Linked DNA regions of Xenopus tropicalis. The protein of the gene in region 2 interacts with the protein of the main gene of each other region in a biochemical or structural test. Links are inferred from orthologs where the notes say so. Each region holds a gene or a part of one and is shown on either strand. Other genes may lie near its edges.

Region 1 (3,666 bases), about 84 Mb from region 2:
TATACCTGTACATGATTTAAGAATTAATATTCTGTTACTGCATATAGTGTAAAGACAACATGGTAACCAATTTAATAGGTCTATGCATACATTAATTTTATTCTTATCTGTTGTCATATGTATGATCTGTATAATGTACGCCTTTGCAGTGACATTTTCCTTGGAGTTTCACAGAACCACAACACAAGGTTTAAGAAGATTGTCTATTTTGTAGTTAGCTATGAAACCTAGCTAAGGTATATATGCACATTTAATTTAGTAGGTTGCAGCAAAGATACAGTTTCATTTAGTGGAGCAAACTATAAATCAGTTTGCTATTTAAAAAAGGAGCATCATACCCATTTATTCAACACTAAATTAATTCATAGGGCTTGTGCTGAACAAACTTTATTAGGAAATACTGTATGCATGGTTTTTTTTTGTTATTTCTTGCTCATTAAAAAGTAAAAGTCACAGTTCTCCATCATGTTATTATATGCACAATTATCTCAACAAAAGGTTTCCGCTTAGGGAACAGTCGTTTATGCAGAGACAAAAACACATGTTCAGCACAAGCCCTATTTGTTAAAGCAATATTGTCATGGGAAAACATGTTTGTTTTTCAAAACACATCAGTTAATAGAGCTTCTGCAGCAGAATCCTGAATTGATATCAGTTTTTCACAGATTTTTTTTATATTTAATTTTGAAATTTCAAGAGCACTCCATATTCTTAATCTGAATCATGAAACATAAGAAAACCTACAGACTTGTAACCACAGAAACACACCAGCAAAATTTCCAAAGAGAAAGATTAGAACATTATGTTCTATGTGAGTAATGAAACTTAAGAACATTATTGTGAGAAATACGTTTTACTTACTAAAATAAGAGTGTCTTTAAGTATTACTGTTGCTATACAAAGAAATCTCACATCTGGCTATTTATTTTGTGGATTAAAGAAAAGTATTTTCCGCGCATTAAAATCATTAAAACAAATAATAAAATTACAAATAATTAAAACTCAAACATTAAAAGCCAAGAAACGAAGAGCCAGACGTGGTGGTGTGCGAGAAGAGAGACAAAAGCAAGTTTTTGTGGGCTTGATCCCGATTATCGCCATCATCCATACTGCATGGGTCACACACACAGCTGCCAGCAAACCCAAAAAACTCAGTTTTATCCTCACTGGACTCAAACATTGCTAGCAGAGTTTCACTGGGTACATTTAAAACATCATTTTGCTGTGGAACAGACACCTTATGCGAGAGTCTGCAGAGAAGCTCATCATCAGCTAGGTTTGTTTGAGCAGAAGTCTTCAGTTTCCTGTGCAGATTTCCTGAAGGCGAGTAATCAGGCAGGAGACTCTGGAGCTCATCCGACTGTACAGTGGGATATATTTGGTCCATTGTTCTATGCCCTTCTTTGTTGTGAAGGTGATTTACAGTCTTAGGAAATGTAATATTATCACACACAGCTGGATCCATTTTTCCATAAGTGAGAGCTGCCTGGCATGCAGTCAATTTACTACAATGTATATTTCCCTTTAGAGAGACATTCGCGTACTGTGCGACAGCGTCTACCTTCTGTGGAACATATAGTAAGATATTGCTAGGAATGTTGCTAGCATCCCACCCAATCTTTGGCCTCTCCATAGTATGATCTATAGTTTCATTTTGTTTCGTTTCATTGTAAACAACTGACATTTCTCTTTCACCTAATGAACCCGGGAGATTGTCCTTCAAACACAAAGCTGGCACAGATGTTGCTACAAGTTGCTCAAAGTTGTCTGTTGTATATTTTTTGTTGCATAATTCTGCAGATCCCACAGGAGAGGGCAAGGAAAACATTGGATCGGTATTGCAAACAGGAGTTGGTGGAACAGAACAAGAAGTAGCATAAGGATCCTTTAACGTATTCTCCTGCAGTGGGGTGGTAGCTGACACTCTTTCTGAAAAAGTGTTTGCTTTTGAAGCTTCATTTCTCTCCTGGCCTTCAGCTTTATATTTTTCAGTCAACATCAATATCCCCACACTACAAATAAAAAAAAAATAATATACATATATAATGAATATATGGAAAGTAACAGGTAACCAATAAACTCTACCTGCTGGTATGGTTACTATACCTGGTGCAAATGTTATAACCTATTAAATGTGAACTTTGGCTTCTGAACCTAAATTTGTTAAAGAGCCCCACACAACACAAACTCCTAATACACCTATTGCTATTATCTGTTCCTTCAAAAAGTATTAATAAATACGATTTTATTTGCTGAAATCCAGCTTCAAAATGGTTCTTCTTTCTGCATCATCCTGGCAGGGGAGGAGGGACTAAAATATTAGTGTTATTTCTCCACAGCTTACAGAATGCAGGAACTACATAACCCACAATACTTTGCACCGTTATATTCCTTTTCTTATTGACATCATGAGTGAAGGGGATTGTGTGATTTGAAGGCGCAGGCTGAGGACAATTGAATACGGTTACACTTTATTTGAAGTAGTCAGCCAGATCAGCAGGAGAACAGGGGGGCCAGGCTTAGGGAACTGTTCCAAATCATATTACATCAAACATCATGAAAAGGCTGCATATTATTTAACTGTTTATTGCAAAGTTGTTTGAAATTATGTTTACCTTTTAAAAAGCTTATGTTGTGTTTGAGTAGAGTTCCACTTTAAAAAAAAGAATACCACCTGAAAATGGTAGCAAGCTGACTTTATTGCCAAGCAATGCCCTGGCTGAGTAGTTGATATTTACAATTTATGTATTTACCTTTTTCTTCCATTTTTGTATTTCGACCAATCCACAAAGTCAAACTCAAAAGTAGAAATAAGATCATCAACCACTTGATAGTATGCACTTTCTGAATAGTTCTTATGCTGTGGGCTTAAAATATGCTGCAATAAAAAAAATGAATCCATAAATTATGTATGTATACACATATTAATGCGTGTAAAGGACTGCTAAATTTTACATTACATGATATGTTAATATGAAGACAGGATAAAAATACAAAATGGAGTTTGACTGCTCTAAGCAAATGCATTCCAATGGACTGACACAGTTAGGAAAAAGTTAATAACTCAGAATAACATTTGGTCCAGAGTATAATAATGTCACTACATGTGAAAACTTTGATAGCACTGGTTTGTATGTATGCATGATCTAAGTCCTTACCATGCAGTCCTTACCACTGGAATATTAGTAACAAACTTAGGGGCTGATATATCAAAATGTAAGATTAGAGCTCACCACAGAATAATTCACCCAATTTCTATTCATTTCTATTGGATTTTAGAGGTGTATTTATGAATGAGTAAACTTAAAATTCACCCTTTGATAAATATGCTTTTAAAAAGCCCATAGGAATAAATAGAAAGAGGGTGAATTTTTCTGTTTTGAGCTCTAATCCCCCTTAACATATTAAACTGCAAAAAATATTTTACAAGTAAAATTATATAGTTTTTAGTTATGTTTAAAATAGTACTAAGTCTCTATAATTTATTAAAGAAAAAATAGATTATACTTACAGATTCCAGACTGTCGTATTTTTTAAGACAGCACTCACAGTAGCCATGCTTCTTTTGCTCCTTTAATTTAATATTTGCATTGTTTGCACCATCCTGTACGTGACCAGTCTTATTTATACTGCAAAACAATACATGGATTAGGAATGCGGCACATA
Region 2 (3,979 bases):
TATATTTTCTGGATATATACATGGCCTGGTGCTGTTGGAAATCCCTTTTTTTTTTTTTTTTTTTTTTTTTTTTTTGATAATACATACAATGACAATACAATATTATATTTATGTGACTGTTCCCTGTGTTCCCAATGTTTTGCAGCTCATGGAGAGGAAGTGCAGTCTCCTCCATCGCAGAGACGTCGGACAGAAGATTCCACATCTATTGGCGAACTTCTGCCCATGCCAACCTCACCTTCAGGGGACCTTCAGAGCCCCAGCGGGCAAGAGCTTATGTTTTCTAGCCCTGCACCATCAAGGCATTCTGGTATGCTGAACACATTTTTCCTCAATTACCATAGCATGCAGGTTCCCATTATAACAACATTGTATTTATTTGTGGGGGGGGGTTTCTTGCTCCCCAAATCTGAGTTTTTGTATACTTGGTGTCCCTATAATAATTAAAAAAAAAAAATTAGTAAAAGTGTTTTTTTTTTTTTTTTTTTACTAAATTCCAAAAACTGCTACTGGATGTGCCCTAATGACATTAAAGGGCCAGTGATACTATGAATTGAAAATGCCCTCAAAGTATTTACTAATGACAATCACTTAGTCTGTTGATTAGAAAATACTGAACCATTTTTAGATATTTTGTTAGAAAATGCCTGTTTTCTGCTGCTGGTTTTTACCAGTTTATAATTATATACTAACTAAGACTTCATTGGGTACAAAAAGGCTATGTGCTACTACTCCTATGAAAAGTACCGCCTTCAAAAGTAACCACAATTCTAGTATTATCATTTATTTTATTGTATGGCTATGGTTGATCCCTGTTTCACTAGATTTGTTGAATAAGATTTAGTAGAGAGCTCACATGAGTAACTAAGGTGTTTTACTAAGAATTGTAAAAAGTGTAAACCCATTAAAGATATGATTTCTAACTTTTCCAAATGTATTTTGCTTACAGCCCTTCAAAGTGAGCTTGATCTCAGCTCACCTCTCACTTATGGCACCCCTAGCTCAAGAGTTGAGGGTACCCCTAGAAGTGGTATCCGAGGGACTCCTGCTCGACAGAGACCTGACTTGGGATCAGCACGCAAAGTTAAGCAGGTGGATTTACATTCAGACCAAGTAAGTATCCTAAGCTCCATAACAGGTTGTTTACAAAATGAGTATTTGGTCAACATAATAATTCTAATTATGCTTTTTCAAGCCTGCTGCAGAGGAGCTGGTTACGAGTGAGCAATCTTTGGGACAGAAGCTGGTGATCTGGGGAACTGATGTCAATGTTGCCACTTGCAAAGAAAAGTTTCAGGTAAACAACTGGCCAGTCCTTACATTTTCATGTTTTTAATTTTTTTTTTAAATTGGATCAATTAGAATTTTGAGTTGTAATTTCAGTGCCGTTTTCTAACCTTTAAGTATCTCTTCCTATGATTTAGCGTTTTGTTCAGCGATTCATTGATCCTTTAGCTAAAGAAGAGGAAAATGTAGGACTGGATCTGAATGAGCCTATATATATGCAGCGACTTGAAGAGGTATGTGTGTTTTTAAAAAAAAAAAAAAATGTAGTATTTTTCTTCCAGTAAACCTAAGAAATCCTAAATTTTATTTTCTGTCCCTTTAGATAAATGTAGTAGGTGAGCCATTTCTCAATGTTGACTGTGACCATCTCAGAAGCTTTGATCAGGATCTTTACAGGCAGCTGGTTTGCTACCCACAGGTAATTTATGTTACTGTTCTTTCAGGAAAATTAATAATTACATATGTTTTTAGAAGCCATGATTTTCAGCCTGTTGTGAAGTTAATATATGTAAAAAAAAAAAAAAAAAAATCAGAAAAAGCTCTTAATTTGTTTGTTTTTTTTTTTTTTTTCCCCCTTAGGAAGTTATTCCAACATTTGATATGGCTGCTAATGAGATTTTCTTTGAGCGGTACCCTGACTCCATTTTAGAGCACCAGATTCAAGTTAGACCCTATAATGCATTGAAAACTAGAAATATGAGAAGCTTAAATCCAGAAGGTAATAAAATATGTTCAATGTTGTTGAGTCATGTCTAGTCTTAGACTAGTTTTAGTGTTCCACTGTTGCTTCCTATCAATTGAGTGAGAAACGAACAGCATCTGAAATTGGACTTTATTTTCATGGTTGTCAGGTTGCTTTTATAAACATAAGTTAGGCTAATGACACTTTTTTTTTTTCACCCTAGATATTGATCAGCTTATCACAATTAGTGGCATGGTTATCAGAACTTCTCAAATCATCCCAGAGATGCAGGAAGCATTTTTTAAATGTCAAGTGTGTGCCTTTACTACTAGAGTGGAGATTGATCGTGGTCGCATTTCAGAGCCATCAGTCTGCAAACACTGCAACACCACACACAGCATGGCTCTTATTCACAATCGCTCTATGTTCTCAGACAAGCAAATGGTAAGTTTTTATCTCATAACATTTGCTAACCACATATTTTGTGAAGATGGAATATATGCATTTTGCATATCTTCTATGGATGTGCCACAATGTTTTGAAAATAATTTCTTATGCAGTAGATTCTCATTATACTATACTCCTAGATTAAACTGCAAGAGTCTCCAGAAGATATGCCTGCTGGTCAGACCCCTCATACAACTATTCTCTATGGTCATAATGACTTGGTGGATAAGGTACAGCCTGGTGATAGAGTGAATGTCACAGGTATGTTCATTTGTACTGCAGAACATATTTTGCAACAGTCTTAATAGTGCCACATATTCAAATGTTATAATTTCTTTACATCTTATTTTAAGAAGCTTATTTCATCCACTCTTATTTAAGTTCCAGTAACATCTAGTGCACCAAATAAGTGGTAACTCTGATGTCATGCTAGGCAGTTTCTACTTTTTTTTTTTTTTTTTCTGGGGGGACTTCCCTGCTGGCCAATATTGCAGGTCACCCATGATGATCAAAATAAATTGTGGGTAATCTGTGAATTCACATGCCTGGCAGGTTACTTGCCTTAAATGATTTGTTGCATTTTTCTAGATGAAGTGAGCAGTTTTGGCTACAATGTGGGGATTGCAAAGAAAAGGAGCTTAAAATAGTGGAAAATAGAAAGGACAGATGGCATCACTATAGGTGTGGCTTTAAATAGTGGTTAACTCTATACTAATCTTTCCTTTCCCTTTAAGATTCAGAACTGGAAAAAGAAAGGAAAAGAGAGAACTGCTTTCAATTGCTGATGCCTTTTTAAAAACATTGACAATTTATAATGTAAATAACAAAGTTGCTTAAAATTATTATTGCATCTTTATTCATTATGCAATGGGTGGAGATCCCACGGTTCTATATCGCTCTGATCTGTAAATTGCTTAGGGAGGAAAACACCATTCATATTCAAACTTGCTAGTTTGCCACAAGGCTTCTTGATAAACTTTTAATTGCTCTTGATTTTATGGTGCTGACTATCAAGGACTTGTTACATAGACTTCATATTTTTGGCTTTCTTCATGTTATGCTGGGCAACCTAGAAAGCAGAAGAAAAAGATGTTCTACTAAAGCAAAATAATCACATTTGTGTTGAGTACTAACTAGCAAGCAGTTTGTTTTAACAGCACTAAACTGCTTGGTCACAGTGGAAATAACTAATTATTTAGCAACTTCAATGTTTTATTTCTCCAGGTATTTACAGAGCTGTCCCAATTCGAGTTAACCCTAGAGTTCGAAATGTAAAGTCTGTTTACAAAACTCACATTGATGTTATTCATTACCGAAAAACTGATGCAAAGCGGTTGCATGGTATTGATGAGGACACAGAACAGAAGATGTTCACTGAAGAAAGGGTTGCAATGTTAAAAGAACTTGCAGCAAAACCAGACATCTATGAGAGGCTTGCTTCAGCTCTTGCACCAAGTATATATGAGCATGAAGATATTAAAAAGGTATAACTTCTGTCTTTGTGGTTGGGAAATTAGGAGATAATTTTGGTGCACACAATCAGGTGGCGGTCAATAAAACCAT
Region 3 (3,979 bases), on a different chromosome or scaffold from region 2:
GCACAGGCTTTTCCCCCCCAGTTTGGGGGAAGAAAAAGTGCGTCTTATACGGCGAAAAATACGGTAATACTATCATAATTATATATAGAGGTGTGAGACCTGTTATTCAGAATTCCCAGGACCTGGGGCTTTCCAGTTAAGGGATTTTAGGATTAGGAATTAGGATCACGAATTAGGATCACAATGCTTTGACTACTAAAAGATGATTTAAACATTAAATAAAACCAATAGCATTGTGTTGCTTCCAATAAGGATATCTAAGTTGGGATCAAGGTACTGTTTTATTATTACAGAGAAAACAGAAATCATTTTTAAAAATAGAAAGTATTTTATTAGAATGAAGTGTATGGCAGATGGCCTTCCTGTAATTCAGAACTTTCTGGATAACAGATTCCATACTATATACAGTATAATCTATATAGTGTGTGATTACTAAACGTTAACATGAGTTAAGAGAGTTAAGGGGGAACTCAGGATTCTAAACCAAAATTTGTTGAAGGAAAACTATACCCCCATGATGAATACTTAACAGATAGTTTATCTTAGTGTTAAGGTTATCTTATGTTTAGTGATTAAAGAATATCTGCAATATATCAGTAAATATTACCCTTTAGGGCTCTGGCAGACGGGGAGATTAGTCTCGGGCGACTAATCTCCCCAAAATCGTGCCGCCGCGTATGCCATCCCACCGGTGATTTACATTTTCGCCGGTGGGATGGCAATCCGGGGAGATTAGTCGCCCGCGAACAGGGAGTTTTGTCGCTGGCGACTAATCTCCTAGTCTGCCAGAGCGCTCCTTAACATCCTTTCCCTTGATCCACCATTTAGTGATGGGTTGTGTGCTCCCTCAGAGATCACATGAGCAGGAATAATGCAGCTTTAACTGCAACAGGAAGAATTGTGGAAGCAAAAGGCAGAACTCTGTCCATTAATTGGCTGATGTGGCAGAGCATGTATGTGTGCCTTGGCTTGTTTGTGTGCACTGGGAATCCTATGATCCCAGGAGGTGGCCCTTAATTCGTAAAATGGCAATTATCTATTTAGGAGTACCCAATAGCACATACTACTAAAAAGTATATTTTTATGCAAATGGTTTATTTAGATGAAGCAGGGTTTTACATATTAGCTTGTGTACAGAACTTGTGTTACAGACAGCATGCAGGAAATACATAACCCACAATGCATTGCACTGTGATTTTCCTTTCCTTACTGACATCACGCGTGCAGGAAATTGGAGGATGCAGGCTAAGGACAGTCAACCAATGTTACATTTTATTTGAGTCAGCCAGGTCAGCAGGAGAACAGGGGGGCAGGCTTAGGTAACTGTTCCAAACAATATTATTACATTATAAATCATGAAAAGGCTGCATATTTTTTTTAATTGATGTATATTGCAAAGTTGCTTGAAATTATGTTTAATTTTCAAAACGCTTAAGTTGTGTTTTGGTGGATTTCCTCTTTAAGTAAATAAAGGGTTAAGTTCAAGAAGACTGGCTGCTACTTTTCACATGGGTGATATGGGTGCTGGATAAATGTGTCACTATTTCCCTTTAATAGTACATTGTGTTAAAAGCATCAAACAAAGACGTAAAATGCGACAAATATGCAATAAGGGAAAATCAGAAAGGGAAAAATACTATTCCCATTACTAAGAAATTCTTATTATCCTTTTTTTTTTTTTTACAGCACAAACTCAAATGTTTACCTTGCAAGGCAAATATTACACACTTGATCTTTTGCATAACAGTCGCAGGCCAAGCTTGTTTGGCATATACTGGAAGCTTTCTTATTGACACTACTACTTGTGCTTTTTGCAGAAACAGTCTTTCTTGTTGCCAGCTTTCTTGTTGTTACATCTAGCATTTTGGATGGTTTTACTGCCTACAATAAGAAGGTAAATAAGGATACCACGGTTAGAGTAGTTCTAATAATGGAGAACAAACAGCAGGTGAAGTATACAGTACTTACAGAGATAAAACAGCTTTCCCATAGAAGACCTTAATTGTATTTCATATGAAGGCCTTTACACATGGGTGTTGCCTCCCTGTACAGGGGCTATTTTGTGCATTACACAGCACAGGAATGCAGAAGTGAAGTAACCACAGACTTCTTTGTGAGGACTGTAGACATGAGGTGCACCAAAGAGCTAACAAGGTAAAACTGGACATTTTATCTGCATTCAGAGCTTGTGCGCACCTGCGGATGCAGTCCTCATAGTCAGCTTGTGCCTTCCTGTGCGGTGCAATGCACAAAAAAGCCACTGCCCAGCAATGAACTTAGAAACACCCACGTGAATGGGACATTAGGAAGGCTATGTTGTTGAAATAACTAACTTTTTTCTTATATAGACAGTAAAAAATGTCACAGCTTCCAAATAATGAATATTAAACTTAAAGCAAATATATTTATATATATATTATATATATTATTTTTTAGTAATACTTTAATAACAATAATACAATTAAAAGCATGAGTTACAGTGTATAACTTTCATGCTTTTGACAGTAGGGCCCATTTACTTACATTCATATTTAAGTAAAAATTTAAAACCACAAATGTAAAAATCTGCCATCTGAATGCTGTCGAGGTAATGTAGAAGTCATTGGGAGCTGTCCTAGGCAGAATGTAAATCTTGATTTTTTTTTAAGGTTTGTGTGTAATTTTTAATTTGCAGGCATATGAAAATGTTAGGTTTTCTTTTTATTTTTGTTCCGCATTTTTATTCATTTGTTTTCAAATTTGGATCTTTCAATAAATGACAAAACATTTGTGGTTTTAGTGGAAATTAGTTTATTCATGGTTTCAAAAAAAACTCTAAAACCATAAAGTTGATAAATGGGCCTCCACGTATGGCTCAATAAGCTTCTTAATGTAATAAAAATAGAGTTGGTGGGGAGCCTGAGAATATAACACCACCATATATAGCAAATCAGAATTTCCCATAAACCAGAGCCACACCTAAAGTAAGTACAAAAAGGCATATATATTTTTTTTAGCTAGTTTTTTAGTTAGCCAAACTTCTAAGCAGCAAATAGCATCAATATTTAAAAAATGTAAAATGAACAATTAACACATCCAGCCCACAGCTTATAAAAATGCTAATGAATATGAAATGTGCTGGCACTTGAAGAGTTAAATCAAACGAAAGACCAAACTTACAGCACTAACATAAACAACAGTTCTCTGCAGAACACATTCTCTTCAGGTTGAAGGAGCATAGATTCATTATTTACAGAATTAAATGAAATATTGACATTTCTTAATAGGCAACACATTTTGACTTACTTTTAAAGTGGTGTTGTCAGTGGTGACAGCACTGTGCACATTAAAATTCCTCTCTCCAAATACAGACCGCTGAGCAGAGCTGCCAAACAGCCCTTCCTGAAAAACCAATCCAAATCAAGTACAATAAGAATTATATCTAACACACTGAAAATGAAGGTAGTAGTACATAAGTAAAATGAGAACAGCTGCATGCATGTTTTCAGGCAACCAAATCTTTTCCATGTGGAAAAGAACAGTCTAGACAGAGCTATAAACAATATAATGAACATGGTCTTAACAAAAATGCACTGAAACATACTCTTGATACTATGAAAAAATGAAGCAAATGTGACCACCAACCAAAAATATACATAACTGAACTGTGTTAAACATAAAAAGTTATCAGAGGTCTGTTTTGTTTTTTGGTAAAATAGTATAATAAATAGGGGTTTATGTCTTTGGCAAATTCTATGCTTGGTGTTCACCCAAAAAGAGAAAAAAAGACTGAGGACCTGTCCATGGTTTCCTGTGGATATATGAGTTCCTGAATGTGACCACTGCTTTTTAACAGACTGTTTTGATGATACATGGTTTACTTTTCTAAGTACCGGTATATTCTGATGCACCCAGTTTCCTGATATAATATACGGATGATTTTGTGAGCAACTTCCCTGTTTTTTGGGCTGCAAAACTTTCAGAAGATCAATTTTTGTGT
Region 4 (4,631 bases), on a different chromosome or scaffold from region 2:
CTAGATGAAATTCCAAACATGGAGAGTTGCTGAACAAAAAGTGGAATATTACTCTCTACATCAGTGACCCCCAACCAGTGGCTCAGGGGGGCAACATGTAATGGTGGGCAAGGGGCCGGTGTTGCTAAAGGAAGAGCACTTACGGCAGCGGCAGAGTCACTGTCCCGTAGCTTGGCACTGAAGTAGTCGGTAACGTTCTTCTGCCAGTCGCCATCTGCCGGTCTCTGAGCTGCTGGAATACAGGGCACGGGGTGAGATCGGGGGTCTCATAGAGAAACATATTGGAGGGGGCACACATGGCATAATGAAAAGCAAAACGCTAATAGCTGAAAGGGATAAACATGATATTCAGTAAAGTTGGTCTTTTTTCTACCTGAGCTACTACGTAACTGTGTAATGCACTCACACCCATGTCCTGATTCAGGGTACAGTAGCCTGGGGCCCCCCAGCTGCTATTGGGGCACATCCTGTGCAGCGCTAAACCCAGTGCCCACCTAAGTGAGAGGGTGCCACCCAACACTACATACCTGTGCCACCCCCATGCATACAGCGAGCAGGGAATGTGGGTGCTGGGTGCCACAGTTCAACAATCAGGGATCGTTGGGCTACTAGAGGCCGCTCCATACTCAGCAGAGATGGCATGGTGCCACAGGTGCCATCACACTAAAGGGCATCTTTATATTAGGGTGTAAGCAAACATCACTAGTCATGTTGCCATAGCAACCAACCAGATATTTACATTTTAGAACTTATAATGTTGCCTACACACTATAATAAATATGCCCCTAAATGGGTTTTCTCTACCCGCCCGCCTGCCCCACTCATGCCCGGCTCTACCCGCCCGCCCCACTCATGCCCGGCTCTACCCGCCCGCCCCACTCATGCCCGGCTCTACCCCCCCTCATGCCCGGCTCCGCCCGCCCCACTCATGCCCGGCTCTACCCGCCCCACTCATGCCCGCCCCACTCATGCCCGGCTCTACCTGCCCGCCCCACTCACGCCCGGCTCTACCCGCCCGCCCTCCCCCCAACTCATGCCCGGCTCTACCCGCCCCACTCATGGCCCGGCTCTACCCGCCAGCCCCACTCATGCCCGGCTCTACCCGCCCGCCCCACTCATGCCCGGCTCTACCCGCCAGCCCCACTCATGCCCGGCTCTACCCGCCAGCCCCACTCATGCCCGGCTCTACCCGCGGCCCACTCATGCCGCGGCTTCTACCCGCCCGCCCCACTCATGCCCGGCTCTACCCCGCCCCACTCATGGCCCGGCTCTACCCGCCCCACTCATGCCCGGCTCTACCCCGGCCCCCCATGCCCGGCTCTACCCGCCCCACTCATGCCCGGCTCTACCCCGCCCCATCATGCCCGGCCTGCTACCCGCCCACCCGCCCCACTCATGCCCGGCTCTACCCGCCCGCCCCCATCATGCCCGGCTCTACCCGCCCGCCCCACTCATGCCCGGCTCTACCCGCCCCACTCATGCCCGGCTCTACCCGCCCCACTCATGCCCGGCTCTACCCGCCCGCCCCACTCATGCCCGGCTCTACCGCCCCACTCATGCCCGGCTCTACCCGCCCCACTCATGCCCGGCTCTACCCCGCCCCACTCATGCCCGGCTCTACCCGCCCCACTCATGCCCGGCTCTACCCGCCTGCCCCACTCATGCCCGGCTCTACCCGCCCGCCCCACTCATGCCCGGCTCTACCCGCCGCCCCCACTCATGCCCGGCTCTACCCGCCCGCCCCACTCATGCCCGGCTCTACCCGCCCCTCACCCGCCCCACTCATGCCCGGCTCTGCCCGCCCCACTCATGCCCGGCTCTACCCGCCCCACTCATGCCCGCTCTACCCGCCCCACTCATGCCCGGCTCTACCCGCCCCACTCATGCCCGGCTCTACCCGACCCGGCTCACCGCCCCACTCATGCCCGGCTCTACCCGCCCCACTCATGCCCGGCTCTACCCGCCCCACTCATGCCCGGCTCTACCCGGCCCCACTCATGCCCGGCTCTACCAGCCCCACTCATGCCCGGCTCTACCCGCCCCACTCATGCCCGGCTCTACCCGCCCGCCCCACTCATGCCCGGCTCTACCCGCCCGCCCCACTCATGCCCGGCTCTACCCGCCCGCCCCACTCATGCCCGGCTCTACCCGCCCGCCCCACTCATGCCCGGCTCTACCCGCCCGCCCCACTCATGCCCGGCTCTACCCCGCCCACTCATGCCCGGCTCTACCCACCCCACTCATGCCCGGCTCTACCCGCCCGCCCCACTCATGCCCGGCTCTACCCCCCCCACTCATGCCCGGCTCTACCCGCCCCACTCATGCCCGGCTCTACCCGCCCGCCCCACTCATGCCCGGCTCTCTACCCGCCCCCACTCATGCCCGGCTCTACCCGCCCCACTCATGCCCGGCTCTACCCGCCCCACTCATGCCCGGCTCTACCCGCCCCACTCATGCCCGGCTCTACCCGCCCCCACTCATGCCCGGCTCTACCCGCCCCACCCATTGCCCGGCTCTACCCGCCCCACTCATGCCCGGCTCTACCCGCCCGACTCATGCCCGGCTCTACCCGCCCCACTCATGCCCGGCTCTACCCGCCCCACTCATGCCCGGCTCTACCAGCCCCACTCATGCCCGGCTCTACCCGCCTGCCCCACTCATGCCCGGCTCTACCCGCCCGCCCCACTCATGCCCGGCTCTACCCGCCCGCCCCACTCATGCCCGGCTCTACCCGCCCCACTCATGCCCGGTTCTACCCGCCCCACTCATGCCCGGCTCTACCCGCCCCACTCATGCCCGGTTCTACCCGCCCCACTCATGCCCGGCTCTACCCGCCTGCCCCACTCATGCCCGGCTCTACCCGCCCCACTCATGCCCGGCTCTACCCGCCCCACTCCTGCTGGCCCGGGGGCCGGACGCTGCCCCACTCACCAAACAAGCCCTGTACCACACCGAGCGGGTCGCTGATCCAGCTTTCTCCTCCAGTCATCGCGCAGACACCAAAGACTCGTTGAACTAACTCAGTGATGGCGGGAAAAAGACGTCACTACGCAATGGGTCGCGTCAAGCGCTCCCGAAACGCACTGGTTGGCGGAAATCTCCATGAGCGCGGCCATGTTTTGGCTGGAGTGCACGTAGCGACTGGCGGAAGTCCTCAGCCGGGCAGCCACATTATAGTTAGCGAAAGGGATAGGAACCTCTGGAACCGCCCTTTTATCTAAACGCACGGTTTAATTGGTGGAGCTGAGGTGCTACGTCATGCATATGAACTTTGCTCTTCAGCCACTGGTTGGGGAGGTTTGTGTTTGGCGAGTTCTCATTGGATAACGCGGAACGCCCGTAGGTATTGATTGGACGTACTCACTTGGTGACGGGTCCGGTTCCTGCTGTCCCGGGTGGGTTACGTGGAACTTGTGGGACGGACATGGCGGGGAAGGTACCTAACGGGGCTCAGTCCGGGCCGCCTGGCAACAACCTGCTCTTCTCCGCCTCCGAGATCAGCTTCTCCCTTCCCTTCATCCCTGTGAGCCAGCACGGCCCCGCAATGCTTCCGAGCGGTGAGTAAAGGGGCCCCTCACTCCTACTGCCCAGTGCCCCCCAACCCTGTCCTACTGCCCAGTGCCCCCCAACCCTGTCCTACTGCCCAGTGCCCCCCCAACCCTGTCCTACTGCCCAGTGCCCCCCAACCCTGTCCTACTGCCCGGTGCCCCCCACCCTGTCCTACTGCCCAGTGCCCCCCAACCCTGTCCTACTGCCCAGTGCCCCCCAACCCTGTCCTACTGCCCAGTGCCCCCCAAACCCTGTCCTACTGCCCAGTGCCCCCAACCCTGTCCTACTGCCCAGTGCCCCCAACCCTGTCCTACTGCCCAGTGCCCCCCAACCCTGTCCTACTGCCCAGTGCCCCCCAACCCTGTCCTACTGCCCAGTGCCCCCAACCCTGTCCTACTGGCCCAGTGCCCCCCAACCCTGTCCTACTGCCCAGTGCCCCCCAACCCCTGTCCTACTGCCCAGTGCCCCCCAACCCTGTCCTACTGCCCAGTGCCCCCCAACCCTGTCCTACTGCCCAGTGCCCCCTACCCTGTCCTACTGCCCAGTGCCCCCAAACCCTGTCCTACTGCCCAGTGCCCCCCAACCCTGTCCTACTGCCCAGTGCCCCCCAACCCTGTCCTACTGCCCAGTGCCCCCCAACCCTGTCCTACTGGCCCAGTGCCCCCCAACCTGCTGCCAGTGCCCCCAACCCTGTCCTACTGCCGTGCCCCCAACCTGTCCCTACTGCCCAGTGCCCCCCAACCCTGTCTACTGCCCAGTTGCCCCCAACCCTGTCCTACTGCCCAGTGCCCCCCAACCTGTCCTACTGCCCGTGCCCCCAACCCTGTCCTAAGGCCCCCCAACCCTGTCCTACTGCCCAGTGCCCCCAACCCCTGTCCTACTGCCCAGTGCCCCCCAACCCTGTCCTACTGCCCCGTGCCCCCCAACCCTGTCCTACTGCCCAGTGCCCCCAACCCTGTCCTACTGCCCAGTGCCCCCAACCCTGTCCTACTGCCCAGTGCCCCCCCAAACCCTGTCCTACTGCCGAGCCGGTGCCCCCCAACCCTGTCCTACTGCCGAGTGCCCCCAACCCTGTCCTACTG
Region 5 (4,442 bases), on a different chromosome or scaffold from region 2:
AAATTCGATTTTGTCACACAAATTGTTACGTAAATTGTCGCACAGTACGAAAAAGTTGTGCAAATTAATGAAAAAATTGCAAACATATGCAAAAGTTGTAAACTTCTAATTTTTAGTAATCAGACCTGTTGTACTTTAATGAATGTGCCCCTTAGTGACGAAGTTAAGGGGGGTTTCTAAAATGAATCTGCTCTGGGGCCCAGTAACCTCTAGTTATGCCACTCTGGGTCCTACAGTAAAATAATTGTAGGGACCCTCAAATAGAAATGAGAATATTCCTTATGGTGCCCCCACCCTGAGTAACTATTTAGCAGCATTTCATATGGCATGAATACGGGGAAATCTGTTCGCCATTGCCATGGAAATCCAGAGAGAAGCCGGAGACGGGCTTGGCAGCAGTGAAAGTTCCAGTTAATTACCCAGCTCAGCGGGCACAACAAAGGCTTAACAGGCGATCAGTGGGTCCCTATATAAGCCTGATGCTACTAGCTATATTTAATTGATGCCTCCAGGGTAACTAAGGAGCCGCTGTACTCCCCCAGCCCGCTCCCTGCCAGTATCCCCTCACGTCCCTCAGTGCGGCGGTGCCTGTGGTGGCTAGCGACTGGCTCCTCCCACAAGCCGCCTTGCTTCCCTCCCCCGCAGCCCGGCGTTTGGCATCAGATGGCGAGTTGCTTAATTACAGGTCCCGGCTAGTGGGCGCCCACAATAAACGTTATATGAGTGGATGGCACCGCCAAATAGGGGGAATAGCGCCATTGTGCTGCCAAATAGGGGTAATAGCGCCATTGTGCTGCCAAATAGGGGGAATAGCGCCATTGTGCTGCCAAATAGGGGGAATAGCGCCATTGTGCTGCCAAATAGGGGGAATAGCGCCATTGTGCTGCCAAATAGGGGGAATAGCGCCATTGTGCTGCCAATAGCGGGCCGGCTGCCATTGCAGGGTCTGAGGAGATTTGTGTGAGACAGGGTGTAGCCCTAAGTGCCCTACAATTTGCTATCCTCTATGTTCAATTGATAATGTAATGAATCCCAAACCATTGTTCTTGATATAAAACACTTATCCCCATACAACCCCAAGTCCCATGATCCCCGGAAAGTGTAGTGGAAAATGTTCACATTAATATCCAAGTCATAAAGCAATTGTGCCTGTGCTCGGGTTTGACACATTTATTAAGTTATAAAGCCTGTGCTTGGGTTTGACACATCAGAGGTACGTGCGCAATCCCTGTCACTTGACATGTGGGAGAAGGCGGGGCCAAGCCTGCGCCTCAGATGGTCAGTTATCACAGCCCTGACAGCTGTCACTCGTTGTTAAGGCGCTTGAACCCCCTGCTCCTGCCCGGCTGTCAAGCTGCTTCCTGGTCGCTACGGAGACCAGACCATGTGACGCGCAGCTGAGCGGCCTCTGATTGGACAGGATCCCTAACCGCGGCTCAATTGAAAACACCGGAGTTAGTTATGTTATTGAGTAGCAGCAGCGGGACTCGGGCAGATGCACAGCCGCCTCCAATCACCGGCCCCGCTGCTCAGCTGCCACCACTTTCCTGCTTCGCATAAAATCCCCGGCCCTGCTCGGGGTAGGAAGGTGCGAGGTCTGTGTTGGGTGCTTGTAGTTGCAGCAGGTAGGTGCTTGCAGGGTTGCTCGCTGTTGGGTTGATGGGGGGGTTGAACTGCTTTGTTATACTCGGATACTCTCTCTATAAGTGGTGTTAGGGTGGCTTGGTAATGTGGAGCTGCTGCTATAGAAAGCTGCCATGGCTCTATAGGGAGGTATGGGTTAGAGATAAGGTGCCAGACTCTGTCAGCTGGGAGCTGTAGTTCCGCAGCATCTCCTGCCTCTAACGGAATAGGATATCGAACCTGTGGCCCTTCAGTTTGTCTACTCTAATCCTTCTGGTAGTACAGGGCTATAGTGTGGGGTTGTAGTAACTCACTTGTAAGTTGTGTCTCTTATGTTCCATTGCTCCGGGGCTCCAGCTTTGCTATAATGCTTGGGGTCAATTTGAAGGGATGGTTCACTTTCAGGTTAATAACTTCTATGGTATAAAATGCCCTATTAACTATATATTTTTTTCCCCCTCTAACTCTTTAATTAGAGTAAGTGAGTCACTGACCCCAATGAGAACTGTGTTCTGTTCAGGACTTTCAGTCTCATTTGAGTCACTGGTTGCTAGGGTACATTTGACACTAGTAACTGGTTAGCTGCCCAAATTCCACTGGAGAGCTGCTAACCATGATTTAAAAAAAAAAAAAAACCCAAAAACAATTGCAAATTTGTCTGTCCACCTCATACTTGAAGTGAAGTGCCCCCTTTTAACTTTGCTTTCTCTGTAAACCTGTACCCTACATAATCCCACAAGCAATAAGCTCCAGGAATTTCTTGTAATGTGGTGGTTTCCACATATTCCAATTGACATCAGTAAGGGTGGATTACAAGTTGGGGCTATTTGTCAGAAAGTTCAGAATCTGACCTCTTGGCTAGCTGAAGTAACTTTCAGATGAGAAGCTTGACTTTTCTCAAGCTGGACTACATAAATTAGGACTGGGTGTCTGGCTGAACCCAGTCTCTGGTTCATCTGGGTCTTGAGCAAGTTCTTAGTGGTCAAACCTGAAGCCAGTCAGTTACTACAAGGAGGGCTTAAAATGAACATTGCTAGATATGCTGTATTGTATATACTGACTGTCAGCCCGTAAGTTCTACAGCCCTATAACATTATCTAGCTCTTCTGGATGGGAGCTCCCTATATCGTCTGTAACTGACGGCAAGCTAGATCAAGCAGCCCGGAAAAGCGAGTCTGGAACAGGTAGAGCGGCGCAAGGCCATGACAAGGGGGTGAATAGGAACCCAAAGGAAGTTAGTGTGTAGCATGCTGGGAGTTGTAGTGCCACCCTGGAGTAAGGGGTTGGGGGGGGGGGGGGGGGTTGGTAGGCAATAAGGGGATATGGGTTTGAGTAGTCGCAGCTTTAGGCGTGCTAGGGCTGCCTTAGTGGGAGCCGAAAAATGGCTAAATAGATGACGGTACAGGTGTTTTTCTGGGGGGGGCTAGGCTTTGGGGGGGGGGGGGGAAGCAGTCATAGTAGGCACAGGAGGTGGGAAAGTTTGGTTGCGGAGGCTTAGTCACAGGCTTGAAAGGGTTCTTTAAATGTTTAAGGTTAACTTTAAGTAATTGTAATGCAGCCTTTAGCGGCTAAATGTTATGTAACATATGTTTATGTAATTGGTCTAAAGTGTTTTGGATTGAAACATTGATTACAATTCTGTTATGTTATCAATAAAATAAGCTGTGGCCTTTCCACCCAGATAAATGCGGGTGTGTTTGGTGTTGTGGGGTAAGGGGAACGTTATTGCAACCTCCCCATATCATGTGCTGGAGCTACTTGGCTATTGTCTAAGCCACAGATCATTACTGGTAAGGGTGATGGCAGGTTAGTTATCTGCAATAAATCTGCTCTACTGCGGGTGACCTCCTGAAAATGCTTTCCCACCAGCAATGTCATTCCTAAGTTTCTATAAAGCAATGAGTGGTTTTTCCACTAGCAATTAACATTATTGCCAGTGGGAGAGCATTTGCTGTGGACTAGTCACCTGCAGTAGAGCAGATATATACTCTATCTCTAACTATTTTTTTTTGTAATGGAATTCATCTGGTTGCAAAAATGGAGCTTGTTAAATCTTTAATTTTTTTTCCTAGTTAACTGAAACTTGAACAAGGAAAATGCGGCGCAGTATGGTATCTGGTGGCCATATCCTTACAGCCTCCTCTCTGGTGGGAACCGGCAATGCATTCCAGAATCAGTGCCTAGCCAAGGTAGAAGTTCAGTCTAACCTTCTGCCTCCAAGAGTTTCTCAAAGAACTGTGCTGGGAGTGATAAGTGACAATGACCAGCAAAAAAGATCAGTTGGACAGGTAAGTGTTTATAGTACCAGATAATACTGCCCACTACCACTAGTTTTACTTAAGAAATACACCTGTTTACAGAGCCTCTGAGCTGGTGTATCCATTCATTGTAACAGGCAGTGGAATTCTTAATGGGTATCTAAAAGTAAAATAGTGATTAAACTAAACTTAGTGGTTAGTGGCTTCTGAGGCAGCTTTAGACAGGCTTTTTCCTTAACAGCTTGGAGTCATCCACAAGTTCAAGGGCCAGATTAAATTAAAATGTCATATATTGAAATTCATGGAGCCTTTGGGCAGACTGGGGGCCATGAAAAGCCTTTGGATGGGCTTCCAGTTGGACAGGCTTAATAACGTGTGTGTGTGTGGGGGGGGGGGTTTAAAAAAAAAAAAAAAAAAAAAACACGGCTAGGTCTACCTGTGCAGATTAAATAATCAGTGTTCCAACTCTTAGGGTGGGGCCCCTGCAAAGTGTCTGCCTGGAATTGAAAATGTGCTTCCTTTCGCTGGAAAAATCCTGCCAACAAACCCAGCACTTGTGGC

What was found.
Region 1: of the proteins of mcm4 (region 2) and dbf4, one has a biochemical effect on the other in vitro, tested with the Homo sapiens proteins (2 studies listed by BioGRID). The link is inferred for Xenopus tropicalis from reciprocal best matches to the Homo sapiens genes MCM4 and DBF4.
Region 3: of the proteins of mcm4 (region 2) and cdc7, one has a biochemical effect on the other in vitro, tested with the Homo sapiens proteins (2 studies listed by BioGRID). The link is inferred for Xenopus tropicalis from reciprocal best matches to the Homo sapiens genes MCM4 and CDC7.
Region 4: the proteins of mcm4 (region 2) and mcmbp form a complex in vitro, tested with the Homo sapiens proteins (2 studies listed by BioGRID). The link is inferred for Xenopus tropicalis from reciprocal best matches to the Homo sapiens genes MCM4 and MCMBP.
Region 5: the proteins of mcm4 (region 2) and ccna1 form a complex in vitro, tested with the Homo sapiens proteins (2 studies listed by BioGRID and IntAct, with this or other methods). The link is inferred for Xenopus tropicalis from reciprocal best matches to the Homo sapiens genes MCM4 and CCNA1.

The regions. Positions count from the first base shown.
Region 1 is NC_030682.2:29,274,770-29,278,435, forward strand, and holds the end of dbf4 (protein DBF4 homolog A), read right to left. Parts: intron 3,630-3,666; coding exon 3,512-3,629; intron 2,879-3,511; coding exon 2,754-2,878; intron 2,013-2,753; coding exon 1,010-2,012; 3' UTR 678-1,009; downstream 1-677. UniProt on the Homo sapiens protein: Regulatory subunit for CDC7 which activates its kinase activity thereby playing a central role in DNA replication and cell proliferation. Required for progression of S phase.
Region 2 is NC_030682.2:113,241,614-113,245,592, forward strand, and holds part of mcm4 (DNA replication licensing factor mcm4), read left to right. Parts: intron 1-145; coding exon 146-310; intron 311-949; coding exon 950-1,113; intron 1,114-1,195; coding exon 1,196-1,297; intron 1,298-1,424; coding exon 1,425-1,520; intron 1,521-1,609; coding exon 1,610-1,705; intron 1,706-1,866; coding exon 1,867-2,005; intron 2,006-2,192; coding exon 2,193-2,413; intron 2,414-2,556; coding exon 2,557-2,677; intron 2,678-3,640; coding exon 3,641-3,900; intron 3,901-3,979. UniProt on the Homo sapiens protein: Acts as a component of the MCM2-7 complex (MCM complex) which is the replicative helicase essential for 'once per cell cycle' DNA replication initiation and elongation in eukaryotic cells.
Region 3 is NC_030680.2:104,915,906-104,919,884, forward strand, and holds part of cdc7 (cell division cycle 7-related protein kinase), read right to left. Parts: coding exon 3,777-3,979; intron 3,382-3,776; coding exon 3,286-3,381; intron 1,882-3,285; coding exon 1,706-1,881; intron 1-1,705. UniProt on the Homo sapiens protein: Kinase involved in initiation of DNA replication. Phosphorylates critical substrates that regulate the G1/S phase transition and initiation of DNA replication, such as MCM proteins and CLASPIN.
Region 4 is NC_030683.2:6,240,292-6,244,922, reverse strand, and holds the start of mcmbp (mini-chromosome maintenance complex-binding protein), read right to left. Parts: upstream 3,110-4,631; 5' UTR 2,990-3,109; coding exon 2,932-2,989; intron 233-2,931; coding exon 144-232; intron 1-143. Other genes in the region: sec23ip (SEC23-interacting protein), read left to right, coding at 3,425-3,557. UniProt on the Homo sapiens protein: Associated component of the MCM complex that acts as a regulator of DNA replication.
Region 5 is NC_030678.2:151,895,372-151,899,813, reverse strand, and holds the start of ccna1 (cyclin-A1), read left to right. Parts: upstream 1-1,596; 5' UTR 1,597-1,625; intron 1,626-3,695; 5' UTR 3,696-3,719; coding exon 3,720-3,911; intron 3,912-4,353; coding exon 4,354-4,442. UniProt on the Homo sapiens protein: May be involved in the control of the cell cycle at the G1/S (start) and G2/M (mitosis) transitions. May primarily function in the control of the germline meiotic cell cycle and additionally in the control of mitotic cell cycle in some somatic cells.